Linked DNA regions of Schizosaccharomyces pombe. The gene in region 3 interacts genetically with the main gene of each other region. Each region holds a gene or a part of one and is shown on either strand. Other genes may lie near its edges. The genes, in order: sgf73, arp6, ngg1 and mcl1.

Region 1 (6,885 bases), on a different chromosome or scaffold from region 3:
GGAACGAGGTTCAGCAGTAGCTCTATTTATAGTATTCAGATAATATACATATTAATAGATTTTAATTAAGATCAATATCAATATCGTATCATACATGGTACGATATATAATTAGAACATGTGACATATAGTGAAACGCAACGTAATATATCATAGCTTAGTGTAGTATTGCTGACAATTTGCGGTTTTGTTCGTAACGTGTGGAAGAAAAAAATAAAAAATGAGGTTTATGAACGATGAAAAGGACTAGATTTTTGATATAAAATTGATAATAGGTATACTTTTCTTAGTTATTGGAAGGATTAGTCACGGGTTTCAATTTGGCCTTTACTTCGACAACTGGTAACAAAAGATAAAACACAGAGACAGAGAATAAGCAACAATTAATAGTCAGTCTTAAGTCATTCCTTTTTCAGGCTGATTATTTTTTTTTGGTTTGAATGCTTCATCAATCTGTTTTTGCTCGAAATGCGATACAATATTTAGCTTTTTAATTCTTAAAACTTTTAACTTAAGGTAAGCGAAGTATATTGTTTTATAATTGTTTAGTGAACCATCGTGTAATTATACTCTTATCTTATTGAATGAATAACGATTCCTTGCATTTCATTATTAAGAAAATATACTCTACTATGTTTAAATGAATTTTTACCTGTGCAGCGTAAATTGCGTTTTCATCAAAAACAAATAATATTAACTACAGCATGGGACGTGGTGGTAAACGCACTTGGTACAATGGTGATCGTCGAGAAGCGAAAAGGAACCGACCTAATTCTATATACAATGGAGAAGGTCGGCCAGAGAATTTGGTAGTTGGAGAAAAAAAGCCGAAAAGAAAGGTCGCCTGTCTTGTAGGTTATTGTGGTAGCGGATATCATGGTATGCAATTGAATCCTCCTAGTAAAACAATCGAAGGAGATCTTTTTGATGCTTTTGTGAAGGCTGGTGCCGTTTCTTCTTATAACGCTGATGACCCAAAGAAAGTTGCTTTAGCAAGAGCCGCAAGAACTGATAAAGGAGTTCATGCCGCTGGAAATGTTATCAGTCTCAAACTTATAATGGAAGATGAGAAGTTAATTGAAAAAGTGAACGAACACCTCCCTCCTTCCATTCGCTTATGGGATGTGATCCGTACTATTAATTCTTTTAACCCAAGGACTTATTGCGAATCTCGTATATATGAATATATGGTTCCAACGTATGCTTTTGTTCCACCGAAACCTTCGTCCATACTTGGAAATTGCATTATGAAGAATTCTCCCATGCCTGCTGAGCCAATTAACAAGGAAAATATAAATCAACTCAGTCGTTCATTATTTTATGAAGAAGGAAAGGAATTTTGGGATGATTATGATATTGCAGCCAAAGAGATTTTGAGCCTTTATGAACAGGATCCTGAAGGCTTCGTAAATCCATATTCTAAAAGGGGAGCTGCTGCTCTTGCTAATTCGGAAAATAATAAGGGCTCTGAAGCAGGAGTTTCCGCTAAAACTAATCCAGATATGGATTCCGATTCCTCTGCTATTGTAAACGAGTTTTTAAAGCCTGACTCTGTTGAAGACGAATCTGCTGGTTCCAAGATTGATCCCAGTTATCGTCTCGAACGTGCACTTAAGCACATTGAAGTACTTAAATTAAAAAATTACCGTATTTCCGCAGATAGGCTGTCCGTTATTCGAGAAACTTTAAACCAATATGTTGGAGTTCATAACTTTCACAATTTTACTGTGGGGCAAGCATTTCATCAGAAGAATAGTAATCGCGTGATCCGTTCTTTTACTGTAAGTAAGAATTATCTTCTTTGTATTTATAGTATTCTTGACAAGTCTTGTTTCTAACATTCTAGGCATCTGATCCATTCATGATTGGCGATACAGAATGGATTTCATGTAAAGTTCATGGTCAATCTTTTATGTTGCACCAAATTAGAAAGATGATTGCGCTTGCTATTTTAGTTGTACGAACGGGTTGTCCTGTTGAGCGCATACAAGATGCCTTTAAAAAAACAAAAATTAACATACCCAAGGGACCTGGTTTTGGACTTTTATTAGAGTCACCGTTTTTTAAAGGTTATAATGAACATAAAGCTCCAGAGAATAATCGTGATCCTATCGACTTTACAAAGTACGAGCAAAAAATTACTGCTTTTAAGCATGCTCATATTTATGATAAAATTTTTCTCGAAGAAGCTCGTAAACAAGTGTAAGTATATTTTTTTCTTAAATTAACTAACCGGTTTAGATTTCATTGTTTTTTGTCTTTTATTGACAGTTATAATGAAGAAGATTTCAGTTATTTATCAGATATAGGCATTACTGAAAAGACGCAAGAGGTTTCCTCAAAATTGCCTGATGTTCTTTCTAGCGATGAAGAAGAAGATTCGGCTGAAAACAAGGATGATTTAGAGGGCTAAAGGATTGATTGTGAGACTGAGGATTTGCAACAAACTGATACCATAAACTTTGCTGTTTCTTTTAAAAAATTAGACTACAAACGTGTACATATATTTTTGGAGAATACTTGTTTCTTTCTTTTTTTTAGAATTGATTATTGGTTTTGGGTTCTATTGGTATTTTTATAGTTTATTAACTTCTACTTGATTATTCCAAATGTTAAGACCGTATGGTGCAATATACAAAATAAAAAATGAAAAAATTAATGAAATAGAAACTAGATGAACGGAGGAGAAAATTAAAAAGTCGAAAATGCGTGGTCAAGTAGACCAAAATGTAAACTATAATCTCATAAAGAATTTAAATCATCAACCGAAGCAAAATCAAAAGAATTTCTTTATAGTGGTTGGCGGGCACTAAAAGGAATCACTCGTCCCAATATAGTACCAGTAACTTGCATACCCTGCTCACCATGTCGAAATGCAGCAGCTATTAACTCTCTAGTACGAAAATACGAATGGCGACGTTTTACGGGTAAAAAAACTTTTTGCTCCAAAGGCTGATTGCCAGATTTCTGGAGAACATTCATAATGAAACTGACTTCTTCATCAGAATCAACAGGCGCTTGATGCTGATTATCTTCGGATTCTTTTGCAGTTTCGAGGATTTGTCGTTGTATTTTTACTTGGTTTTTCTTTTGACAAGCTGCAAGCAAAACATCGTATGGCTGAGATCTTCCCGGAACGGCTCGTTTGCTTGACATTGAATGCGTTTTACATGTGAGAGATCTGGCGCACATTTGCCCATTAGGAAGCAAAACACCGCATTGCTTTTCAACATCCACAGGACCTTAATTGAATGTTAGTATTAAAGTAAACAGGTACTCCATTCTCCATATTGAACAGCATAAACCAACATACCTTTGACCTTTGGATTCTTCTTCTTGCTAGCCTCTTTCTTGGGAAGGGCGGATTTTGTAGGCTTTTTGTTTTCTTCTGTCTTCCGACGTTTTGGAGGCATTTCAGGATTCTTTTGACCATTAACTGAATTCTTTTCATGATTCCCAGCTGAGCCCTTAGCTGTCGATTTAACACCATTTTTGATGGGTGCATTATTGCCATTGTTGACATCTTTGTTTAAAACCTGAGAATTCGCAACAGGCTCAAATTGAGGCTTAGGAGGTTTAATTCCATTGCATGAGCTATGATGGTCCTCAATATACTCTGATAGGAAGGGTCGGTCGCATTTTGTGCATACAACATAATCGAGTTCTGAATTGTTAGGATATGACCCATACTGAGGAAAGGAATCAGCAGGTAGTAAAATTTGAGTTTGATTCGTAATGTTAGAAGTTATTTCATCCTTTACCTGTGATTCTGTATTATCAACTCTTTGATCAGCGAGTACATCTTTGGGTAACCCATCCGGGTATTTCAACAAAACTTGCTCATTTCTTTCCCAATTTTCTGGAAATAACTCCAAAGTCTGTTGTTCTGTTAACATTTTATTGATAAGAACCGAGTTTATAAACAGAATTCTACAAAGTTGCCCTTTGTCAATTCCTTTGTAGTGGGACTAAATCTGTAAGTCAAGTGTATGTACGGTTTAATGCTTCCAGAAAGCAAAGTCTATAATTGCATTCTAATGAACTTTCAAAGGATTATGCTGACACATATCATTTCTGATAATTACTAAATTATACAGACATTGTCTTTAAGGGCTAGACTATGACTGACAAAAGAATTTTTGATCTTGGAATTGAGGACAAACTACGGATATCAATTTTGATTAACAATTCTATTTTTTTAGGTCCCTTGAGCTAAACATAGTTTATTATTAAGGTGCGCGCTTTTCCCGTTTTCTCGTACACTGCCAAGAATCCACAGATCATGAGGGTGAGTAATCATGAAATCCGGACTCCAAAAGTAGGCGGCTGAAAATAAAATACTGGCAGAATCATTTGCAAATAAAAAGATAGAATAAATAAGGAGAAATACTTAGTGAAATTCCAAAATTATTTGTTTTTTTTTACATCGTACCAAAACATCAAAAATTAAGGAGAGAAAAAAATAGAAAACGTGAAAATTAAGCTGAAAAATGCAGTAAGATTGTAGAAAGATTGAATTTCCAAGATGAAATGTTCCGCTGTTTATTTTCCGTAGATTTTACATATTGTTTGCTCAATTGAAGATTACAAACGATCGGAAAGTATGTTTTTTACAGAATCCCATGAAGAAGGAGAAAGTTTGTTTTTCAGTTCATCGTACGTACACCAAACCCAGTCATAAACGTTTTGCAGGTTAGGTACATCTAATCCATTTAATAAACGAGCACGTAACAAGAAGGTCTAGAAATAACTGGTTAAACAAAAAATCAACCCAGATAAAATGAGAACAAAAAATCCGTAGTCTTACCTTTTCTTGTTCCGTTTTTAGTAATGCTAATGGATGACGTGCAACTAGCCAAGTCAACGAATTTTCGTCTAATATATTTTTTAAAAGATCTTGACATAACTACAGTTTGTTAGAAAGGCCAATCTGCAGACTATGTAAACAAAAATTGCAAGAGTATTTGATAAATTATTTAGCATCAAATCAATAGTAAGTAGTCTCTTGCACTATATTGTGTATCTTGGAATCGAATTTTAAAAAATGTACTTACCAGATGCAGCGCCTTCTCGGAGCTTGTAACAGGAGTGTTAGGAAATTGCCAACCCGAGCTTTTAGATTTTTTTACCAACAAGTAAAGGGACTTGTCAAGCGAGCGAAGAGTGCTTCGCTCATCGTTTTTCGTATCAGCTTCTGTGACTCTGGATTGCAAGTGAGTTGCAGAATCCAATAATTTGTTAGACTCCATCTCTTTCCTTTCCTTTCCAAATATCGTCTCAAAGGGTGATTCTTTACCTTTTAGTGTTTTTTGTCGTTCTTGCCAATCTTTTTCACCCACCGATCCCTTCTTGAAATAAAATTCTGCAGGTAAAGGATCACTCAGCTCATTCCAAAGTTCCGCATTATATTTATATATAGATTTTTCGAATTCGGATGGTTGGCGAGTAAGAATTGGCGATCTAATTAAAATTGTACCCACTGAACAACCTAAGATATGTTAGCAATCATGTACATCAAAGGTAATTTTTTTATTTATATTTAATATCCCTAGATAATTCATTTTCATTTTTTAATTCTGTACCTTTTAGAGGAGTCGAGTTAGACAAGGGTTTAGAGGATTGAATGGAATTTCGTACAGAAATGTGAAATTGACGCGAAAAAGACCTCTGCATATTTATAATATTTCTCTTCAAGTACATTGTTTAAACTTAGTCAATTTACGCCAAGTAAATCTCCAAATTTCGGCTTTGTTTACTAATCCGGTAAAGACCACTTGGTAAAGGCAATCGACGTTTCGCTATGGCTAGCACTACCACCTGTTTTACCAGCGTACATTACACGCTTCGTTAAGTACTGTAATATTTCTTAGAGACTCTGTTGCTATCGTTAATATGTTTTAATAGATTTCTTTGGATTTCGTTATAATTCAATTTAACTCACTTAGAATGGGGAATTGCTGACGCAGTAAACCTTTCAATCCCCATAACAATGTCTGCTTCCGTCGAATTAAAACGTAAGAAATTTGGCTAAATTCTTCTAACGTGTGGATAGCTACAGAGAAGTTCAGTAAATTTCTCGAGGAGTACTCTTCGGTACCGGTTCGCGCCGCCATTATTAGCATTTCTAATGGTAAGTTTCCATTCGGGCTAGAAGAGTAAATTTTAAGTTAGTTGAAGTTACTAAATGATTTAGAGAATTCATTTGACGTGAAAACAATGGTTGAAAAATCAGAATCGATAGAATCTGATTTTAAGAAAGTCCGTGAATGTTTGCTCGGATCTGAAGAACCTGCATTTGTCCTCGTTTATGATGATAGCAAGAAAAATCTATTACAATTAATTTCCTATGTCCCTGAAAATGCGAATGTTCGCAGGAAGATGTTATATGCCTCTAGTCGTGCTGCATTTGTAAGATGCGTAACTCTTGCTAAACTCGACGAGTCTTATTTCGCAAGTACTCCGGAAGAGTTAGATTATCAGCAAATTATGAAGAGCTTAAGCAAGCAAGAGGACCAAAGTCCTTTACGACAAGATGAACTCGAAAGGAAAGAGTACAATGAGGTAGGTAAACTGTATTGGGGTGGATGGATTTTTCATACTTCTTTACCGTGGCTCGTAGAATTTATAGCTTCTACTCTTTTATTTGCATCTATTTTAACAACTATGTAGTCTATGCAATCCTCAGTAACTCATAAGCGTCCTTTGGTGACCCGTGGTGTTGCTATGTCGATTGATGATAAAGCCTTAAAGGCTCTTTCTGATTTAAAATCATCTACAGAAAACAATCTTGTTATTTTGGTAAGGAAGCTATGATACTTTTGCTATGTATGGTGTTGCTAACCTCCTTTAAAAGTCTATTGACAAAGAAGTCATAAGTTTAAGTCAA
Region 2 (7,366 bases), on a different chromosome or scaffold from region 3:
CATTGATCATTCTCCATTAAAGTTTTTAACACGCGGTTGCAAAGCTTTTCCATAGACCAAATCTTCATGTTCAGTTGCCTAGCCTTAGTGATTACATCCTGTTTAGCATACTTAACCGAAACATCTTGGATAGCCCGAACTGTTGCAACATGAGTAACATTTCCTGAGAAGAACGTCTCAACATGTCCACCCAATTGCTGAATTTGTTTTTTCACTCGATGAGCAACACTTGGGTCGCATCCATCCAAATAAAAACGGAAATGAGGAAATGCCTTCTTGTACTGTCTTTTCCATTCCTGTAACCGAGCCTTTTGAGAGGAATTCTTAGATCCCAAAACTTTCCCAGCTGCCATGGATTCCGCCTTCGACTCAGTATCAGCATTAATGGGGGCCAGCCCCTTCATGACAGGAATATCCTCATTTTGAGGAGCATCATGTTTAATCCGTTTTACGGACTTGCGATATGATTTAGGGGTAATAACAGTTTGATGTTTAGGGGTGGTTGTGATAATATTTTCGTTATTAACAACCTCAAAATCGGTTTTCACTTCTCCTTCATCTTCCCTGTTGTCTTTCCAAGTTATAATTTCCTCCCTTTGTGCTTCGTTTGTCTTTTCCTCAATTCGATATTCCTTTTGTTTGGATACGGCATCATGTTTCGGGAGTACTATATTCGCAGATCGAGGAGCTAGAGGACATCTTCCTAGGTTCATGTGGTACAGCCACCTTACTAAATTAGTGTATTTGATTTTTCCTCTTAATGAGAGCCTAGCTTGGGATTAATTCTCTTTGTTTACTTTCGCAAAAGACAATATTAGTGTTTGGTGGTGGTCAACTCGAGATTACTGCAATTTGGCCAACTTTTACAGCTTAAAGTAACGATTCAATTGGGTAACATCTATGAAGAAAATATAAAATATCTGTACATATTTATATTATTAAAGTAAATTTATATCATTTAATCAACTTTTACTTTTATATTTAAGGCTTTACTGTTGAAAATGTGAGGGAAAATATATGTAGCCCATGAACAAGGCTCAACAGAAATAATTTGGGATCTCGATTCTTCTTATTACACAGTTTTCCTTTACTGAATTATATGATTAACTTGAGAAAAAGAACAATTTATCCAACAGAAGCAACAAAATTTCACGAAAAGCTCTTTCTATCCAAAATGTAAACAGACGCGACACGACTACATTGCAACGCAACGCGCTACATTCTAATTAAAGTAGTATACCGTGACTGCTCTAACTCAAGGTTGCTTTAACTCTTATACTGTCAACCTGAAACTGCACTGTACATATAAAATGCACTTGAAACAGTAGTGAAGAAGTGCTGAAATTTTTCTTTTTTTTCAATCTTGTTTTTCAGGCACATTAATAATATGTAAGTATAAACACTTGAAGAGATAGAATGTTACATATGATGCTTTACAAATCGATTAGTCTTGAAGACACAACTATGTGGTTAAATTTTTATACTTGTATACTGATTTTCATTCCTATCTTTTTTATAATATCTTTCATTTCGCTAACGCTTTTTAGGTATGAATTATCCTGGCGACAATAATAAAGATATAGTTATTTAGCTGTTGTTTTAGTGGTTGATCAAGAGATAGAATGATTCGTTAATTAATATAAAAAGATTTTATTCTTAATGCATGCATATTTTTCGTTTTATATTGCTGTAGCCTTAATGTAATAAACCAATTTCTTAAGATGCGAATTATCAGCTCGCCTTGAGAATTTTGTGAAGATAGAAATTTAACCCACATTATTGAGTTTTAAAATGGTGATCTATTATATTCTCCTTTTTCGTGTCATTATGTTTGCTCCATGTTCTGAGTACTCAGAACGAGTTATTTTATTCGCATTCCAGTGCTCCAACGGCATATGAGATGCCTTTTTCCATGGAAAGCAAATAGGATCTGAAGGTTCAAAAACTTTAACTTCCCAATTAGCTGGTGCCAGCGACCGTAATTCAGATGATAGTCTTTTATGAAATCCGGGAAATTTACAGTTTCCTCCTATTGTAACAACATTTTCAAGCAACATTGCCTGTATATTTTCAGGAAAGTGGGTGACACTTTGCATGACCGCCTCTGGAATCCCAGCCTCACGTATTTCGATATCAGATGGGGAAAATAATAATTCTGGTATCATGAATCTCTCATTTGAAAGATTCAAAACTTGTTGCTCTATTTTTTGATTAATATCTCTAACAATATATCCATGTTTTCCAGTGCTGTAATCGGGCAAAGCATAACAAATTTCCAATTTTGACCGTGGTTTTTCGTGACATATCTCCATGTCCTCCTTGAAGTTTTGAGACACATAACAAACGGACTCTTTAATTTCATTAACAATGTATGTTTCTTCCATCATATTGTACTTCCGGTATGAGATGACTTCTTTTAAATAATTCGTAAGTAATTTCCCTCCCACATCAACTCGCTTTACCGCTTGTTCTTGAACAGAGAAATCAATCACAGGAATTATGTGTGTAAAGCTATATCCAGAGTCAATTACCAAAACGCATTCTCCATGTTGACCAGTATACGCATCTTCTTGATTCATTGTGAAACTTCCATGATCCCAAGGAATTAGCTCAGCTGGGGTGCAAGGGAGGTAAGCATCGAATTGGAATTCCTCAAACACGAGTTGTATAGTATTGTGTTCTATGGAAGGCATTGTAAATACGGGCTGTGTAAGCAGTAAAGAATAGTCTGCCATGCTAGGTTCCATCACACCTACATTGCGCATTACCAAGTCCCATACGGCTGTTTCTGTGCTCCAATGGACCAAATACCCCTACTAGTATTAGTAAACATAATCTTTGTATTTATTTTGTTCGTAAATAATACTCCCTCATAAATGCTGTACCTTTTCATGCGCCCTGCGAAATTGTAAAGTTGTAAAGTCGTTACAGTTGGCCAATTCATTCCCCAAAAATAATCTGTTTCCATCTTTTGATCTCGTCAAACAATTCGGAATTTCACTAAAAACTATCGTTAGCTGAAAAAAGTAAAAGATACATGAAATTTATTGACGTGATGCACTTCTTCTTACACAACTTTTCCACCTGCAAATCCAGCTTTTATATGGTATGCCCCATTGTCTAAAACAATAGTTTTAGGGGGTAGTCCCATATTATTAATAAAAATGTATTCCTATATCTTAGGTCTTAACTTCACCCAAAAACCGCGATTAAATGTACTGTTGTTACGGCTTTGGAATGCTGTTATATGATAGCGTTGTGCTATAACAACAATATCATTACAGTTTGAAGCAATAGTATAATAACGCTGGCTCTTAAAGATATTTATGATATTTTTAATAATATCATAAATTTGAAGGATATCTTTTTAAAATAACTTTAAAGATAAATCTTGCAAATCTTAGCTTTATCAATATAACAACATCGTTAATGGGGGGCTGTCTATCAAATTTAGTTTGTAAAAGCCGTTTATCATATTATCCAACCCCTAAACTAGCCGTTATCAATTTAGTTAGCTGCTTAATTCAACGTACATCTAATATACCATTCATAAACACCGACTTTCCCTATACTACTAAATCGTGGATACTTAACTTTATGCTTATTTCCTCAAGAAAAATATATTTCTATTTCATTTTCTCATCAACTTGCGTTTGTCAATTCGCATAAAGTAAAAGCAAATGAACTAGTATTAATCGATTTTAAAACTTCTCATATTTATTAACTGGTATATTATGATTTTAAATTTCATTTAATCAATTGGCGTTCCAAAATTCTTATAAAAGAAACACACCTCTGCGTTTGTTTTCACCGAACTGTAAACCGATACAACAATAATTTTCTTAGCCTTCCCTTTAGACAAACCCTCCATCCATTTTTCCCAAGCCATAATTCCGGGTCGTATCTCATTGAAGAAATTATTTTTACAAACCCGTAGAGTTTGATTTCCCATTTAAAAAGAGCCGTTCAAATATGTCAGTTTGGCTTATTACCACTGTGTAGAAAATGCTTGTTTTATATTTTTATATTTTATTACCAAAATTGGACAGGCTTAGAGCGCCAAACAGGCTCATGTTTTATCGGAAGCGACAGCAAGGGTAGAGGGTTTTTCAGTTACCAATCTCTGTAAGGATTGCTGCTCGGATGCTTCCAAATTTTTGACAAGATCTTGTAATGTGACAGGGCTGTTGTCCTTTAAATGAACCATAAACTCTTGGAAAAGTGAAAATGGATCAACTTGATCTAACAAAGTATGGAAAAGAGGATCCTCGTCCAACAAGTAATTTCCTTGGAAATGCTCAAATTCGTCAAAATCGTCAACCACATCAGCCGAGATTTCTCCACCCAAATCAGGTCCCCCATATTCGACGGCAAAGTCATCGACACCCTCATCATCATCGGCTTCCCAATCGATGCCATCATTCCAACCAGAGCCAGATAAATTAAATGTTTCACCGTCATACTCTTTTTCTAATTCCGCGCGAGCAGCTAATGCTTCAGGTAGTGTATTTAAAAGAGTTATCATGACTTTCATTATATTACCCCAAGAGTCTTGGATAGCAACAGCAACTTGTTGAGCTCCCAGTGAAATTACCGATAAAATAGCTACCAAACTCAACTTTTTATCATGCACACGAGTAAACGAAGGTATATTTTCAAACCATAACGCAAAGAATGGTAAAGTCCACTGATGCATTTCAAGTACCCCAAGAGACATCGATGGGTTATAATATAATGCATTGATTATAACCTCCAACAAAAATACGCGGTATGTTTGAGAAGTTGGCTTTTCAGTTACAAGTAAGAGATTACCAGCAACCTCAATAAACGCAGGCACATATTGATCCAAAAGGCCACGATAATTAAGCATTAAAAGTTCGGTTAGTTTACAAGCCGAAACACGGTCATTGACGGCCAGGTGCTCGCTATTAAAAACTTGCATGATAATATCAACCATAACGGCGATATAATCAGGACGGGAAGCAAATTCCTTTCCACCATACGTGATAAAGTTACTTAAGGCAGGAGTTGCCTCCTCTACAAACTCAATGCCAGACTCTTTCAACACCTTTTGAAGCTTTTCATACACGCCCCACATAATAGGGGATATCTCCTTAGAAGCAAAAGTGCAACCATCGATAATTTCAAACAACTCTGCATACACGTCAAAAATGTTGTTATCTAATACAAAATTAATCATTGGAAGTAAGATTGCTTCAATTTCACGTAAGACATCAACCGTGTTCTCGAGACTTAAAATCATTGTACTGAGAGTATTTAAAATGCCAATAGCCGCAATCGATTTATCATCAACTAAGGAGTCAAAATCATCTACGGTAGTAGATTCGTCCATGGTTTCTTGCATAAGCTTGACGAAGGTATTGCGAAGTTGTTTAGCCAATTGTGAAGCAAAAGGTGTTAACTCGTGACTAAAAGAACTTACAAATTCCTCCATACAAGAAGATAAAGCATCAATATCAACTTCATTCGCCAGAAATAGGAGATTTTGCATAATGATGGGTACATGGGCGGTCATAACATCGTGTACCTCCAGATGACGCATAAGTGGTTGCAAAGCTAAAGCAGCTTGAATTCTCACAGGTAAATCGTTATCTTGAAGACAATTCAAAACTGCCTGGTATGCATTCAAAAGCTGCGATTTATCACTCCAATCAATTTCTGAAAACCGATTGATCATTTCACAAGCTCGAGATCGTAAATAACCAACTGGGCTAGTAAATTCGGGCATAACGTGAGCGACAAGGAAATCTTGCATCATGCCTGCAACAGGGGAGTTCTTAGAAAGGATGGAATTAGATACAGCAGCAACCATACGAAGTGCACCTTCTTTCTGGCGAGGATTTTTTTCATTAGGAGGTGAAGCGGCGTATTGGTTCAGGATGTCACTGGCGAAGGAAAGAATACCCATGAACGTATATTTCTTGCGTTTCGATGCTAATTTCACAAGGAACCGTGAAGCAGCAACATCAGCAGAATTGAAATCATCATAGATATCAATATATTTGTGAATAAACTCTACTGGATCAAGTTCCCAAAGTTCTTCATCTTCTTCGCTCATACATAATTGAGGAAACACAAAGCTGCCAATCAATAGTTGAAGATGAGGCTTGAGGAGTGCCCAAGTGGACTTTGGCTTCACACACTCTTCATAGAAGCATCCCAAAAAATACAAAACACGGGGAGATAACCAGAGCTGACCTTGAGTCCAAAGAATAGTTTGTTGAATGTATGTCTCCAGAATGTTGGGAACAACATTTGTAATGAAGTTCTTTGCAAAAGCACGGTATTTGTTTGCAGAATCACCCACCAAAGAGCTAGGCTCTCCATATCTAGTGAATATTCTATTCAAAGAATAATACGCCCATTTTTTACATTTATGCCAAACATGAGATTGACGGACCTCTGGTTCAAGCGACATCAAAGATTCGGGGAGAGGTTTTTGCACCACTGCTAATAAAAGCTGGATCCAGGAAAGAATCATATCGTTAGCAAGTAACTCCGGAGGAAGCTCAAGGGCAATGACAGATTTAAATGTCTTTAAAATAAGACGAAGCATTTCGGCTGAATCATTGTCTTCAAGATTGATAAGACCCTGACCAAGTTGAAGAATAGTGGGGAAAAGTGCTGCGACTAACGGACCAATGTCACGTTGACGGTCATCCAAACGCCAGCGGTATACTTTAGCCAACTCATGAAAACAAATAAGACCAGCATACACCTCACAACGTTCGGTTGAGTGAACGAGGTTAGAAGTGTATTCGCTGAATCCGGGCCAATATTCGGGGAAATCGGTTGACAAGATGATATTAAGGATCGCCATCAAATGAGACCTTGTCGACATTGGGCTTTGCAAGAGCACCGGAAGAATGTTTTGCCTGAACAAAGCTTTTTGCTCTTCCGGAATATCCAAAGGTGATGGAGCATCATCGATACTAGACCAAGAACGAGATACCCGATTTTTTAAATAAATAACGGCTAAATTCAATAATGTTAGCTATAACATCTTCAAGACATGATAATGAATTAAATAGGAATTGAGTAAACAAATCAGGTTCTCAACCAAAAAAAAAAATAAATAAATAAATAAAAAGATGAGAATGCCTAAGAAAACAGAAGGATAATTAATTAAAAATGAAATTAATAGCTTTTTTTTGTGCTAATACAAAATAAAAAAAATTTTGAGATACAGTACGATAACATTATAACCTTTCATCACGTATTCAAAAGAGCTCTAACTAAGAATTATGCAAACAGCAAAAATTCTAGATACGGTTTCAAGGTAATTCCTATTTCTCAAACAATTCACACTTACCTGCCTGTTGAGTAGGCAAAGAAATTTCTTGAC
Region 3 (7,419 bases):
AGATGCCCATTAGATACAGCTCTTATCAGATGTACTGTAGCCTCATCTATTTGACCATTCGCTAACGACACTTTTCCAGCTACAGCAAAAGCAAGAGGATCATTGCTAGCCAATGCATTCTCTAAAAGTTTTGTGATTGACTCAGTGTTTTCAGCCACAGGATATCCCATAAAGTACATGTAGGCAATCGCAGCCTTAGAGGAAGAATGATTTAAGGATACACCATATTCAAACCACGCATACGCAAGAGATGGATCTGGTTTGCCAAGTTCACCATGTAGAGCCATACAGCCTAACCTGAAAGCTGCAATTGATAAACTGTTAGCAGTTTCTTTCGTGGTTGGCGCATGTCTTGGATTGTTGTGAATACTCTTTATAGCTTCAGAAGGAGAATCTGGAATTCCAGAATTTACTAAACGAATAGCTGCAAGATAATGTTTGACTGCTAATTTTATATCCTTCAACTTACCAGGAGTTCCGTACTGGTAAATCGTAGCAAGGCTTATATGGGCCGATATATTATTTCCACGTAAAGCGTAGTCCTTTAAGTATTCAACGATGTCATCTTTTTTCTGAACACTATAGCTTGAAGTACGTGATAAATCATATAGGTCAACCGGATATTCTGCTGCTATATCAGGAGCAAAATGAGACAAGGGTTGAACTAAGCATGATATTTGATGAGCTACTTGTTTATAAAGCTCAACCCCCTTATCCACAGACATCGGTGTAGAAAGTCCATTAAGGTGCTTATATGCAAGGGCAAGTAAAGCATACGTATAATTTTGGGTGGCCGATAGTTCAAGGAATATTCGAGACAACGGTTCGTTTCGAGGAAACGATAAACCTAAGCGTTCGTCAGGCCCCATGGCGTACAGCATGGCAATTAAAAATTGTGATTCCGGATCTCCTTTTTCAGCTTCTTCATATACGTATCCGGGATCTTTAACGAGTTTCGGAAATGTTAAAGTAACTAAATCAGGAAGCGTTTTAATAGACGCTGATACATTAAACCTCGACCCTTCAGGATACGAAGCCACGAGAATTGGCTTCTTATCAATGTTGTCATAAGAAAATTCACCACCAATTACCGTAAACACGCATCTTTTAAAAATAAAGAACAGACATATAAGGAAGTTAAGCAACTGCATCAAGAATATTACTGAAAGTGTGCCTCTTGTCCGTCCTCCCTCCTAAAAAGAACCGTTCAATTTCCAAAGTGGTGAGTTTATATATCATCGGTGACTCTGTTACCTGAATGGAGGGCTTAAAGAAATAGCGCTGGAAGCTGAATAAGTGCAAAGTTGTTTGAATAACAATAAGCTTGTAAATAGAAGACTGTAAATACATTTACATGGTGTCAGAAATATTCATCCTTCCAATTGTTGTCTGTTGTCTTTTAACCTAAATTTCCAAAATTATCATTTTTTTCTAGCAAAGTTAAAAGAAAATACCTTTTCGGTACTCGTATCTTTATCATAACCTCAAATAAATCATTCAGGATCGCTTTCTCGATAATGATAATACACACCATATTGTAATATAATTTATAATATTACCAGGCGAAGAGTAATAATCGCAAATAGTAATGATATTTCGTGATATCGTCTTATTGTCGTAAAACTCGTATCAAATACCGAATATACAGGTTATTTAAATCTTTCATTCTCAAGCCGATTTTATTTGAGCTAAATATTATGTTAGTATTGTTGCTTTACCAAGCACCTTTACTTAAAACAAATCATTTTACTTTAAATTTACAAAATGAAATTAGTTATAGAAAATAAGCTAAATTATCACGTTAGTTTTATGAAAACTTGTGCAGTTAAAAGATATCACTTAATATTGCCAATTTCGGTATTCACAAACTTGAAAAGTCTACAGTAAAAAATTGAATTTTCCACTTTACTAGACATTTAACAGCAACGCAGAGTGATTGATAGCGGCGCATTGTTACTAGAAGTAAGACATGTACTTGATTTTTTATTTACTCGCCTATAATTGTTGTAGTATATTTCTTCGCGTTAGAGAATGTATCGCTTCCTTGTATCTCCTTATTTGAGGCGGCGGTCCACCTACCGCTATTTCTAAGTATCCTTTTACGAACTACGCATCCAACTGCACCACAATGTCCAATTCGATCGTCGTAAGTTAGTATTGTTTTAAGTGTTATTCTAATGTTTTTATCAAGGGTGAGGTCTATCACCACGTGATATTAGACGTGATTGCTAATTCACGGAGCGATTTTGAAGAAAATGGTGTTGATGATGCAACTTTACGAGAATTACAAAATGTACGGTTTTATGAAGTTTAGGTCTTTTTCTAATAAAACAGTTATGGCAAAGCAAGTTAGTTGCTACCGATGTTGCAACTTTTCCTTGGGCACAAGCTCCTGTTGGCACATTTCCCATTGGTCAATTGTTTGATCCAGTTAGCGGCTTGAGGACAGATTCATTAGATGTTACTGCTCCAGCTGTTGCAAACTCTCCCATACTTAATAATATAGCCGCTATTCGTGCTGTTCAGCAGATGGATACATTTGCGCAGCAACATGGTAATTCAAATTATTATTCTCCACCTACTCCCTCTCTCCCCCAGTCAGCAACAAATATTTCGTTTGACAGCTCTGCAATACCTAACGTACAGTCCAACCCTAATAATACTGCCCCCTTCCCTTCTTACAGCTCTAACTCATTGCAACTGCCCACTAATCAAACTGCTGACTCACCGATTATCAACGACCATTCGACTGCAAATGTAACTTCTACGGGCCAAGAACATGCTCCCGACTCTTCATCTACTAACTCATTTGGCGGATTGTTACTTCCCAATCAAAACTCTCCGAAAAAGTCTGAATTAGGAGAGACAGAGTCTTCTAATACCACCCCTGCTAATTCTCGTAATGACGTGCCTCAAACCGATGGTGCTATTCATGATCTAGATGATGCTGGGAGCCCTTCTAATTTTGAAAGTAATAGATTTGCTATTGCACAGAAAGCTGATGCTGAAATTTATGAAGTTTTGAAAAAGAATCGCATTTTGCAAATTGACGGCACTATAGAAGATAACGAAGATGAAAAAAAGCCACCTGTTGATACGCCTTCTGACGAAGCAATTAACTCAGATTTAGACGATCCTGATTCAGATGAGGCTCCCGAAACTGAAGAAGGTTCTGATATTGGACAGGCTATCGTTCTTTGTCTTTATGACAAAGTGAACCACCACAAAAATAAATGGAAATGTGTGTTCAGAGATGGCGTAGTTGGCGTTAATGGAAAAGATTACTTATTTTTCAAGGCGAATGGTGAGTTTGAATGGATTTAAAATTTTACTTTAGGTGTTTTGCTTCAAAAAGTGATGGACGTATTTTATCTATCAATCATTCTTCTTTTTGGCCTTTTTGTTTTCTTCATGAATCATGTTTATAAGTGCATTTAAGTAATCTTCCTATCATATTTTAGTGAGCACATCAATCTATTCTACGGTTAAAAGTATTATTATTATTTCATGCAAATTTTATTCACTAAAGCAAGCAATTAAATTAGATCACAATGATAGAATTACAGTATATACACTTTCAAATTTTAAACGCTTCATACAGATGTACTGTAATTAGATGTAGTGTGGTCCGATAAATCATTAAAAATAGAAGTTGGCGAACCAAGGTGTTGCGTAAGCTTATCCTGAAATAAAGGTTGAAGCTTTTCTAACCACATTGAGCGCTTGTCCATCAATGATTTGATGACAGGAAAAGAGCCGCTCGTAGCTGAAGAGCCAATTTTATCAGTAACAATACGTTTCTTTTTAACCTTCAAACTTCTGTTACGTTTGACATACGCTTGTTCGATTTGTTTATCTAGATCATCCATCACATTTTGGAATTCTTGAAATGCCATTTCCTCAGGAAGCATCTGTAACAGCGCATTCCTCATTTTTTCGTTTTCATCAGAAACTACCTTCAAACGAGCATTCAAACTCCTTAAGGTAGCTGAAATTTCATCATCCTGTCGCTTTGACCAATCTACATCGCCATCATAAAGTATACCTAGTTGTTTTAGGGTGTAACGAAGGCGGTCCTCACAAATTGAAAGACTCGACTCTTGTATATCCGGTTGTTCTGTATATTCATTATTTCCTGACTCGATTCCATCAATGCTTGTACCAATTTTGCTTTTCTCGGATCCAGAATCGGTTTCCGCAAATTCGCCAACAGCAATAGAAGGTTTTTGCTCCTCATCATTCTGCGTGTAGCAAGGAATTAATGAAGCCATTAGTCGTTCAGTGAGTGGACCACACCTAACTTCCTCAGAGACGGTATCTGCCTCATTAAAAGCTTCAAGGGATCCTTGAGCAGAGGTTTGCAGGTTTTGGTAAATTGAGTTAGCACACAGGTTGGTCATTTCATCTTCCGGAGTTAAATCGTAATAGCGTTCCCCCAAAGGAGGAATATTATAGGAAGACGAAACGTCAAATCCTTTTTTTAAAAAAGCAATATCATCATCATTGAAAGCACGAAAATATGGGTCAAGTGACGAATAAAAGGTTGATATTGAAATCTGGTTATTTGGCTTGTTGTGAGAAAAATCATCAGTCGCCGGAGTTCCTGCCACCAACGATCGTACATCACTGGTTGGAAAGGAATCTACACATAAAAGCTTCTTTTTTTGTTCATAAGAGAAGGAATCGTCAACAATGAAAGATAGTAATGAACCGGTTAGAAGATCGTTTGCGTTTTTATATACCAACCCAGTTGTCTGTTCATCTTTACCCTTAACCGGTAAATCTAATTCATTCTCAATTGTTTCCACATTTTCGGGACTGATTTCTTCATTATGGGCCTCTGAAACTTTGGGCTTCTTGGAAACTTTTTCTAGCATAGACTCTTGTGGACTTTCGGAAAGAGAACGCTTTTGCTTTATTTCTTGTTCAACGTTGTCTTCTTTAAATTCTTCTACTTTTTCTTCCACTTTATTAACCGACGATTCGTCTTTTGAGGTTTCTATTTCAGAATCGACATGAGACTCTAACTCTTCTTTGCGCTGGCGAAAATATTCTACACAAGACGGTTCACACTCAATCATTTTTTGCAGCTCAAACAGAAGCCGCCATAATGTCGACACAGACGGTACAACACCAGGAGTTGACGTTTCACTCAGACGGGAAAAGGTCTCGTATTGATTTTCAATTTTAAAACATTGAGGAATCACCGCGGGTTTCGAATCAGCTTCATTTTGTTGTTCGGAGGACATCCCAAAAAAATTTAAATCGTGAACAATACAACATTTACATATGTCTCTCTCCCCCGAAAAAATTCATTACTGAGGTGGTGATTTTTTATACCGGATTTCGATGATGGCGTACTTTTAGCGAAGTCTAGTATACCACTTGTTACATTGTTATAACGGTGCTCAGAAATATTAATCAAGAACAGCGTTGAATTGCTACGAATATGATATCTCAAACCAAATTAAACAGCAATATATTTTATTCATAGTGAATCCATCGCAAAAGCAATATGCTTTGCGAAGTATTTTGAACACTATAAGTGATCTTTGGTTTGTTTAAAATTAAATTTATCTTAAATTTAATAGTTTCTAAACCAATTGGTCTAGCGCAAGAACTAGATAAACAGAGTTGCAGCTTCACAAGATATCATGAAATAGATCTACGAGTCAATGGAATAGGATTTGTTTATACTTAATTAAGAGGTAAATATTTACAAGAAAATGTTTTATCATTTTTTTTTTTTAAATTTTGGATGTTTTTATTGCTATTCTTTCCATTTATGGGACATTATTTGACTGTAAGTCTCAGCAAATTTAGTGGATTGAGATTAGAAAAAGAAAAAAAAAAAAAAAAAAAAAAAAAATTTTTCTCGGTTGTAGATTTTCTCATATTTTCCTATTATATATTTAATTTACTACAATTGTCTTTTGTAATTTTCATTATATCACTCAACAGAATCACATGAAGAAATATCTCACTGAACCATCGTAATTTCAACAATAACAATTGTCACATATATTAAATAACTATAAACTGTAATAATAATAAAATGTGAAGAAAGCTCAACCGAACTGGTGGGTTTAACTGAAGCAATTTCATCTGCTTCGCATTTCCAGCATTAACCAACCACCCACCGTCATAACCGCTAAGATTTAAATTCCCGCCATCACCCCGGTAGGTCAGCCACCATTTCCTGTATTTGCCATCGTATTGAAGCTTTAGTTGTATTAGAAACTTTGAATATTTTTTAAGTAGTACGATGGCTCAAAACTCAACCCAACTGGAAAAGGTATGTGATATTTTAAAGAGTTTTGGTGTTTTGAACCAACATAATGTTTTATGATTCAAAAAATTGATTTAAATCAAGTATTTACTAAAAATAATCTTTTTTAATTGGTTGAAAAGTTTGATGATTAAATGCAAAATTTTCTTTAGTTATCCGCTTGGTTTTTGGTTTTTATCTAACAAATTGCCGTCTTAGATTTCTGGTTCTTTCACAAGGTTGGCGGAAGCTTTTCAGTTAGCTTTAACCGCATGCCGTGAGATCGAAGAATCACTTCCTTCGATATTAGGAGAGAAGTCCGAGGTTTCGAAACCTTTTAAGCCAGCCGTCACTGATCCATCAAATGCGAAGAAAGAGATTAATATGGCAATTGAGTCTCCTTCTAAAAAAGCAACTTCACCTAAGAAAGCTACTCCTGCAGCAGTAGCTCCTGTTGAGGCAACCTCCGCAGTCGATACGTCGGAAGCTGTAGCCTCCATGACCCCAAACAAGCGCAAGGCTAGGGATCCTGCACAACCAAAGCGCCCTCCATCAGCCTATAATCTCTTTCAGAAGAACCAACGATCGGAAATCAAGGAGTCTTTGGGCGAGAAGAGTAACGATGTTAAAGAGGTGAATAAAGCGATGCATGAAAAGTGGGGCTCGCTATCTGAAGATGATCGGAAAACTTACGAAGAAGAAGCTTCTAAACTTCGAGAAGCCTACGAAGAAGAAATGGCTGCTTATAATGCTTCTAAAGAAAATGCGTCAGTTGCTGATAGTCGAGTTACGGCTGAGGAAACTTCTACTAAACCTTCAGAAGACTTATCCTCTCCCACTAAAAAAGATTTGATAGACTTTTCAGAAACCAGACCATTGGCTCAAGCTTCTAGAGCCACTCCTGACATTAAAGAACAGCATGCTAAGAAACCGAAGCGAAAGCACACCCGTTCAACAGTACCTACAAGCAATGTTGAACCAGTTTCTCAACCTCAACCCTCTCCTGACAAAATCGTTTCTAGCCCCAATCCGCCATCAGCGAAAAGGGAAAAAAAGAAACGTCGCAAAAGCTCGATGTCTTCTTCCATTACCACTCCCCCTACCGCCAAAGTTGCTAATTGAGTTTGCTTGATAATTTCATTAATTGTGTA
Region 4 (7,993 bases), on a different chromosome or scaffold from region 3:
ATGGAGCTGGAACATGGAAGACAATCCATACTAGTGCAACAACCACTGCCGCTTGAAGGTAAAAAGTCTACATGCGCATTGTTAATAGCTGGTCTATATCATTGCACATATATTTGTTATCTTTGTATTTAATTTATCTCACCTTTCTTTCCGTTTGATGCTCATTCATATGATTTATTTCGTTAAATCAATTACAATATTTAGTCGTTTATTTTTAAGAACTAGCATACTTTATATTTAATGCATTATAGACAATTGAATAAAAATTTTGAAACAAGCAGGTAGAAATAATAAAGCCAACGATCTATTTAAGAAAAGTAAATTTTACATCGATGATTATTTACATAAGTAAAAATGTGTTTAGTTAGGTGAAGCAAAAGAAGTGCCGAAGAAACCATTTTTATAAATTATCCCTAAATACTAATACCATATCATCTAACCGAGAAGCTTGTAAAAGCAGTTTTTCCTCGTAACTATACAACTTTTTTAGCTCAGCTTGCTCAAACTTTTGTAGATATTGTTCCTCGTTGCCTTTAATATCTATTCGTTCTGCCTTCTCAATGAGTTGAGCTCTCTGAGCTCGTGCATCTCGTAATCGCATATATAGTCTGGCAATTACATGATAAAGTTCATCCAAAAGGAGAGAGTACGCCCGATCAGGACGGTGAAACCAAAGAAAAAAAGTCTTGGAAGGGGCCCTGTCGGAACTACGCGGAACCTCTTGTAACTCTAAGGCTCCGATTTCTGCCATAGCTTGAAGAACGGTTCGTAAATCTCTTTGACGAAGGAGAGCAATATTCGCCAACTGCTTTTCCTCAATTTTTCCCTTATCTTTTATGATACGCAGTAAACGAATAGCTCTTTCCCCAAATTTTTGTTCTATAAAATTTTCATATTCTATGGCTCGCAGCATGTCGGTTAAATGGGTAAAATTGACCGCCCATTCACCCATTCCTCGATTGCCTATTTTTGAAATAAATTTTAATGAGCAATCTGCCAAAAGCTCCAGGTGTTGAGCCAGCACCTTGCTCTTGCGATTTGCGTTTTCATCAACACTTTCTTCATAATTATCTTCCTCAGCAAGTTCATCTAGTTCATTCAACTTTTCCATGACACGCAATTCGTTAGAGGCAGAATTTACGCTATACTGTTTATCGACAATCGAACTCTCAACGTCGATATCATTCGGAAAGTTTCTCGTAAGCTCCATTGTCGTGAGTGTAAAGACCGGAGATTGATTGGAAATACTAAATAATCTGGGTTCCAACATAGAAAGAACGTGAGAATAGACAAGCGAAGTTGATTTACCAATTCTTCTTTCCACCCAATGGGTAAGCCTGGCATTTTTTGAGAGGACAGAAAGTTTTCCTGAATTTATGCGAACATGCGCGGATAGATCAGGTACAAGGATGCTATTATCATCGTCTAATATATTATTCAAATCCGTTGATACAGACGGAGCAGAGCCAACAGCACGTTTCCTTCTTTTTGTTGGATGTGGTATTGATTCCTTTGGCTTCCTGGTAAGTCCTTGTAGTTCTGACATATCTGCTGCACGAAGCTCTAACATTTCCAAGGCGACAGAATCATCAACCTCTCTATTTTTTTTTATTTCAGACACGTTTTCTGACTTTCTGCGATCTAAGTGCTTGATCCGGAGTTGCATTTCCTGATCTCCTACTGGTATTAAATGTCTCGGTTGCACTACTAGCAAAAACTTTTGGTAAATCAATTCCGTTAGATTTTTCTGCATCATACGGCTTTCTTCATCACTCCCATCAACCTTTTTATCGAAAGCATTGAATACTTCGAGTACACGTGCACGTCCTTGGGTACTAAGATATTTTACCACAGAGGCAGCCTCCTGGTTTAATTTTTGAGATATCAAATATACATCTTTACCTTTGCGAAGAATGTTATAAATTTCCTTCCATTGGGTCTCATAATATGTGACTTCACGTACATTTTCAATGACCGTAACGTACAAAACCATATGATGCTGCATTAAACTGACAAGTGCTTGTCGAATTTTTGGTCCTGGCAACGAAGTCCGTTTTTGTAGCATGGGAATCGTTAAACGACCATGCCTCAAAAGTGCACTAGCTACTGCCTAAATTGACAATAAATTGGTTAATACAAAAGACTTTGCAACCTCAACTTCAGATTTAGAAATACAATTGAATCCTTACCGAGCAACAATCACCGAAAAATTCCTCTACGAGAATCTCACACAGTTCTACAGCATACTGTGACATGATCAAGCAGATTACCAATCTTGCTTGGAATGGTAAATTGTTTGGCAGACGTAACTACAAAAAAGCAAAGATTTCACAACCTAGAGTATGCCAATAGCCTGTATTTTGTGCGTCGTTAAAGCAGCGTTAACATTTATAGTGTATCACTCTAATACAGAATAAAACTTTAACGATGTGCAAAAACGATTTTCATATTACTTTTTGAAAAAATACATACATATAATTACTGCGAGTATTAAATGAATGATCGAAATCTAATTGTATGATTAATTTATTTAACTTCTTTTTAATTTTCCTGTGAGAGGCTCCACTAGGTTTCTCAATTCCATTTCCATGTCGTTGATTTTTTGTGGTTTAATCAAGCATGACTTATCTGCAGATTCTGTTTTATAGCTTGTCATGGTAAGCATTAATTAAAATACTAAAAGACAATAGCTAATTGCATATTTTTCCTCCATTTAGAATATTGCTGTGCGGCTGTTTGAACATTTATAGCAGACATTTCAAAACTTTTTAACAGAACTGCTCTAATGGAACATCAAATACAACTTCAGAGTAATTAAAAAAAGCTCTGAAATGATTAAAGTTAAATTATTCCTATAGTCTCACATATAAGTTACTTTAGTATTAATTTCTAATTGTTAGCAGATGATTAAAAGCATGGATTGCATATTTTCAATCGTACTTGCATATGAAAATAAATTGTAGACAAACATTTGCAATTTCTCAATAGTGCTTTCGTGGTAGATTTTTTATTTAAATGTTTGTTTACATTAAATAGCGTAACTAGCTAACGAAAGTATCGCTATTGCCATACTAGTCCCAATCTCATATACAAACTCTTCCTCTAGCTATTATGGCAGGGAATAGGCTAGTTCCTAGATATGCCCATACAGATGGACTGACGCGTCTAGCGTATACTCGTGATGGGAAATTTCTTCTTACGGTCGGTTCTAATCAAGTAATCCGAAAATTTCAGGTTGGTTCTGATGAGGAACCCGACTCCATTGATAATCATCAAGATCCTATAACAGGAATTGCAGTTGCTGTAAGTGGTCCTCAAAAAAGTTTGGAGCTAATGACTTTTATATAGGAAAATTATTTTTGTACTTGTTCAGAAGATGCAACTGTCTGCGTATATCCCATCGATTCTCCTACCGAGCATACATTGCTGGCGCGTACTACTCTTCCTATTCGCGATGTGGCATATTCAGTAGATGGAAATTGGATTGCCATAGCTAGTGAGTAAGTTTTTTTTAGTGTATAATGCTCTACTTGGTCGTTTTCAGCCTAACAAATATAGTGAAACAGCAGTGAAAGTGGTTTCGTCCACTGATTCTTCACAAATTTTCTCTCTTCGTCCAGCTAAGGCTTCGAATAAACATGTAACTTATAGCCCGAACGGAAATTTTTTAGCAGTTTCCAGTTGCAATGGAATTTTGTATTTTTATGACACCCAAACTCGTGAACTCATCAAGTTCTTAACAAACACTATTGCCTCTTTAGAGGCAGAATCAGAAATTTGCTCAAAGGCGGCTTGGCATCCTAAAAACGGGACATTTGCAGTTGCGAGTACCGACCATTTTGTATCAGTTATTTCCCCTGATGACTGGCTTCCATTGTACAAACTTCTTCCAAAAGAGAATCATTCTGGTGTAACAGATATCTCCTGGTCCAGTAATGGAATGTACATAGCTGCTTCATTTAAAAAAGGAGGCATTTTAATTTGGGATACACAAAGTCATGAAGTAGTCGTTGAGCTCCCCTATAGTACAGTGGTGGCACTCGCCTGGCAGCCATTTGAAAACGTGTTATCATTTACTACAAATCAGGGAATTTTGTATTCATGTCCGGATGTCATTCCTAAATCAATATTGAAGGAAGAAAATGATCCTACGAAGCCTTTGACTTCGTCAAAAAGTAAAAACCGTACTTCCAAAGAGCTTGATGATCTTTTTGGTTCTGACGATGAGCAAAGTCAGAACGTCAATGATTTGGATGGGAACTCTGCCAACGAGGAAAATGAGTTTATCAATCATGATGGATTGGATTCATCTTTGGACCTAGATGGTGATAGTTATATGGTTGATGAAAACGACTTAAACCTTGCAAAGAAAAGAAAGCAGAAGGCGTTGATCGACAGAACTACAACAATAGAGAATGGTTCTAGTAAAAGACGTTTACTGCAAGCCTCAATACATAAACCCGTTCATACTGGAAGTACACCATGGCAGGGTAATAGAAGATATCTATGTTTGAACTTGGTAGGGTTTATCTGGACTGTACAGCAAGATGCAGAACACAACACTATAACGGTTGAATTTCATGATGAAACTACTCATAGAAAATATCACTTTGTTGATGACCAAAAATTTGAAATGGCATGCTTAGATCATGAAGGTGCTTTGTATGCTTCGCCTGCAACGGAAAGTTCACCTGGTGTTATTTATTATAAAGCACATGTTGATTGGTCGCGTAAATCTGAATGGGCAATGGCTTTACCCATGGAGAATGAAAGTCCTGTGACAATTTCATTAAGCTCAAGCGTTGTACTGGTATGTACGAGTGCTGGATATGTTCGCGTATTCTCAAGACAAGGCTTTCCAATTAGCATTCACAGGAGTAAACACTTGCCATTTGTAGCTTGTTCATCTTTTCAGGATACGATTATAACCATCGCCAACGATGGTTTGAGCTCTGATGGAAATTCTCGTCTTGTTTATTCCATTGAAGACATTTCTCGTGATGAAATGTTGCAAACTGGTGATGGGGTTGCATTACCACCCCAAGGAACGTTAGAGAGTGTTTTCTTTTCGGATGTTGGAGATCCTTACATCTACGATTCAACTGGGGTATTGTTGGTATTAATGCATTGGCGCATACCAGGACAAGCCAAGTGGATCCCTGTTTTAGATACAAATGAATTGGAGCGTCGCAAATCACGGCAAGAGTCTTATTGGCCTGTAACTGTTGCCGATAATCAGTTTCACTGTATATTGCTAAAAGGAGCCTCTCGATATCCCTATTTCCCTCGTCCGATGTTTACAGAATTTGACTTTCGTATTCCTTGTAATACGAACAATCCGGATGCTTCTACATCTGTTCCTGTTTTAGAAGAACTACAACTCCGTAATAAACTATTTTTGACTTTATTGGAAGATAGCATAGGAGATGGCGATGTTACGGAGGACGAAAAAATAAGCATTGCTAGACTAGAAGCTAACATTGACAAAGCCTTGTTGCAACTTATTCAAAAGGCTTGTCTCGAGGAAAGAATCGAACGTGTCTATGAATTGACAAAAACTTTGAGAAGGACAACAAGTATTGCTGCTGCTCAAAAGATTGCGCTCCACCATTCCCTTACAAATGTTGCTGAAAAAATTGGTAATCTACTATCTAACGTCTAAACCCTCACGTCTTAATTTTTATGTAACATTATTTTTTGCATATTAGTAGCTTGAGCTAATCAAAAGGGGTTTGAAGCAAAGCTATGCAGAAGTTTTGTCACGATCTTGCTCCTTTCTAAATTCATTTATATAAGCATCTAGCACTTTGATTTTTTTCTCATTTTTGTATTTAATAAACACATTTCATTTTGTTTACCATATAACCTCTATGTTTATATGTCAGTATATTCGGCATATATTTCGAGTCTATTTAGAAATTGCACAGGGGTACAAAAAATTGATTCATAAGAAAAGGTGGAAACATTTTTTAAAATGACAAAGAGTCACAAAGGAATTTGTATTCTTTTCCTTTCTGAAATGAAATAAAATCTAATGTAGAAACTGCAAAGCTCAGTGCCTTAGGGTGCGTTACAGTTCGTAAAGTTGCAGACACTAAGTGCAGTACAACTTTGTAAAGTGCCAAGCTGCAAACGAAAACACAATTTTAGCATGGAACAAAAAGTGAGTGCGGATGTGTTATTGAATAAATATCAAACATCCATAAGCATCACAAAAAACTTAATCAATTCGTGGTTGGGAAACGAAAATACATCTGTCAGTAGCGATGAAAAAAATGACGATCCACCGTTACAAGCTAGGCCGCCACGGTTAGGGTTGGGTGCTAGTAGAAAAGACCAGTCAGAAAACAGCTGGGTTACTTCCAAAAATGAGAAATTGAAAAGCCTGCCACCGGCATTAAAGAAGAAGATTGAAAGACAGTTGCAGAAGAAGAAGGAAGCTGAAAAAATTGAAGGCGGCAAAAACCACGACAATTTAAAGCGAAAATTGAATAAAGTAGGCGATGAATTGAACGAGCAACAGTCTGATACTGATGATGATGATGATGATTCAAAGGCTCGCATTACTAGCCGATCGAAAAGAGCTAACGCCCAAAGTTCTGGCTTTGATATTTATAAAAAACTTGGGAAGAAAAAAAGGTGAACTTGAAAGAAAAGACATACATAAAATATTTGCATAAAAGGTTTGACTTCTGATTCATTTTGATCAAGAGATTAGCCTCAAGGAAATGGACATCCTATGAACCCATAAATAAGCAGCACTGGAGTATTTATGGCATTGCTATTGGTTGACGTGCATGAAGTTGAATCGAAATTTATTTTTCTGTGAAAAAATTTACGATCCTTAATCACATTTAGTGTTTACATTGGATGGGTCTTAATTTGGGTGCCGTGTTTACCTCTTTTCAATCAGGAGGGTTTTTTTTTTGTTTAGTCGGTATGTTAAGTAAATAAATTTTAGATAGGGACAGTTGGTAATATGAAAAGGCACACCTATTTTTTATGAATCAAGCTCAAGCGATTCAATTTTGTAGTGAAAGACTGACTGCACTATTATAATTTAATAGTGGCATCTAACCAAGGAATGTGAATGCTTTCCTTACCCGCTAGCCACCGAATCCATGAAAGTCGAACCAACCTGTAGCCGGCTTCTTTTAATTCCGTAGGGAATGCTTTTGTGTCGAAAATATTTCGATTGAATGAAAAAAAGGTTGAATCACTCCACAGAGTGCGTGTATTAATCAACAATCCCAGTATAATCATGCAATATGGACTGAAGCCTGTTAGTCAAAATCTCGTATGGAATGGACGGCTTGTTTATCAAACTGGTTGTTGAACTTACCATGGATATTTCCGAGCAATCATGGACAGCATAAAGATCGGATAGAAGAAGTATGGAGCAGCATTAGCTACTAAAAGCATTGGAATAAAATATCGTAAACATAGCATTTTGTACCAAGTTTGGTAAAGCAACAAGTTTTTGAAGGATGTAATTTTACACTATTAACGCCATTTGGTCACGTAACAATCCATTAAGACGATATGCCGTTTTGTGAAACCGAAGCGATAACTCGGAATTCAAAGATTTCGTAAGCGCTAAATATCGTTAATTAGATAAAAGTTGTAGATCCAGCGATCCTTTGGTATTGCAATGTTCAGTATTGTTTACAACTTCAGAAGCATATAAAAACTCTTTCGACTTAGATTACAATTAAGATTTCAAAACTTTTATAAATTACTGCAAGTTGATTGACGCACTGGTTGGGTTGACATTGATTGAGTGAATTGACAAGCTTCACCATCGATATCCGTCACACATACTTGGGTCATATAAAGTGTTTATTGCATATAGTATTTAAAAATTTCATTTAAAACTTCAACTGGTTCATCTTTTTACATACGCCTTGTATATCCATATTGTAAAGTCAGTTTACTAGTTGAATCAATAACGCATTCTAGTGCACTTAAAACACATTTGCTAAATAGAGAAAAA

What was found.
Region 1: mutations in ngg1 (region 3) and sgf73 together harm fitness more than expected from each alone (negative genetic interaction), as found in Schizosaccharomyces pombe (3 studies listed by BioGRID, with this or other methods).
Region 2: mutations in ngg1 (region 3) and arp6 together harm fitness less than expected from each alone (positive genetic interaction), as found in Schizosaccharomyces pombe (2 studies listed by BioGRID).
Region 4: mutations in ngg1 (region 3) and mcl1 together harm fitness more than expected from each alone (negative genetic interaction), as found in Schizosaccharomyces pombe (2 studies listed by BioGRID).

Annotation. Positions count from the first base shown.
Region 1 is NC_003421.2:2,119,962-2,126,846, forward strand, and holds sgf73 (SAGA complex deubiquitinating submodule subunit Sgf73), read right to left. Parts: upstream 3,970-6,885; 5' UTR 3,896-3,969; coding exon 3,313-3,895; intron 3,242-3,312; coding exon 2,790-3,241; 3' UTR 2,549-2,789; downstream 1-2,548. Other genes in the region: pus1 (tRNA/U2 snRNA pseudouridine synthase Lsp1), read left to right, coding at 704-1,780, 1,846-2,201, 2,241-2,412; mrpl17 (mitochondrial 54S ribosomal protein mL46), read right to left, coding at 4,584-4,739, 4,807-4,905, 5,054-5,487, 5,582-5,699; twf1 (twinfilin), read left to right, coding at 5,989-6,013, 6,052-6,129, 6,193-6,560, 6,669-6,797, 6,853-6,885. UniProt on the Schizosaccharomyces pombe protein: Component of the transcription coactivator SAGA complex. SAGA acts as a general cofactor required for essentially all RNA polymerase II transcription. At the promoters, SAGA is required for transcription pre-initiation complex (PIC) recruitment.
Region 2 is NC_003421.2:1,207,793-1,215,158, reverse strand, and holds arp6 (Swr1 actin-like protein Arp6), read right to left. Parts: upstream 3,221-7,366; 5' UTR 3,152-3,220; coding exon 3,072-3,151; exon of another isoform or gene 3,001-3,071; coding exon 2,886-3,000; exon of another isoform or gene 2,814-2,885; coding exon 1,803-2,813; 3' UTR 1,500-1,802; downstream 1-1,499. Other genes in the region: Hsk1-Dfp1 kinase complex regulatory subunit Dfp1, read right to left, coding at 1-713; nmd5 (karyopherin), read right to left, coding at 4,070-6,996, 7,334-7,366.
Region 3 is NC_003423.3:1,583,094-1,590,512, forward strand, and holds ngg1 (SAGA complex subunit Ngg1/Ada3), read right to left. Parts: upstream 5,306-7,419; 5' UTR 5,250-5,305; coding exon 3,594-5,249; 3' UTR 3,499-3,593; downstream 1-3,498. Other genes in the region: hrd3 (HRD ubiquitin ligase complex subunit), read right to left, coding at 1-1,151; transcription factor TFIIA complex large subunit Toa1, read left to right, coding at 2,129-2,146, 2,192-2,293, 2,335-3,324; upstream binding transcription factor, RNA polymerase I specific, Hmo1, read left to right, coding at 6,266-6,295, 6,488-7,390. UniProt on the Schizosaccharomyces pombe protein: Component of the transcription coactivator SAGA complex. SAGA acts as a general cofactor required for essentially all RNA polymerase II transcription. At the promoters, SAGA is required for transcription pre-initiation complex (PIC) recruitment.
Region 4 is NC_003424.3:3,280,864-3,288,856, reverse strand, and holds mcl1 (DNA polymerase alpha accessory factor Mcl1), read left to right. Parts: upstream 1-3,104; 5' UTR 3,105-3,111; coding exon 3,112-3,303; exon of another isoform or gene 3,304-3,348; coding exon 3,349-3,500; exon of another isoform or gene 3,501-3,558; coding exon 3,559-5,662; 3' UTR 5,663-5,853; downstream 5,854-7,993. Other genes in the region: cts2 (chitinase), read left to right, coding at 1-56; DNA-directed RNA polymerase III complex subunit Rpc82, read right to left, coding at 401-2,110, 2,190-2,255; SPOM_SPAPB1E7.01C (uncharacterized protein), read left to right, coding at 6,152-6,643; SPOM_SPAC652.01 (BC10 family protein ), read right to left, coding at 7,054-7,273, 7,343-7,449. UniProt on the Schizosaccharomyces pombe protein: Has a role in regulating DNA replication complexes. Acts as a regulator of post DNA replication initiation. Associates with chromatin during G1 and S phases of mitosis. Required for the transcriptional repression of the outer repeats of the centromeric region.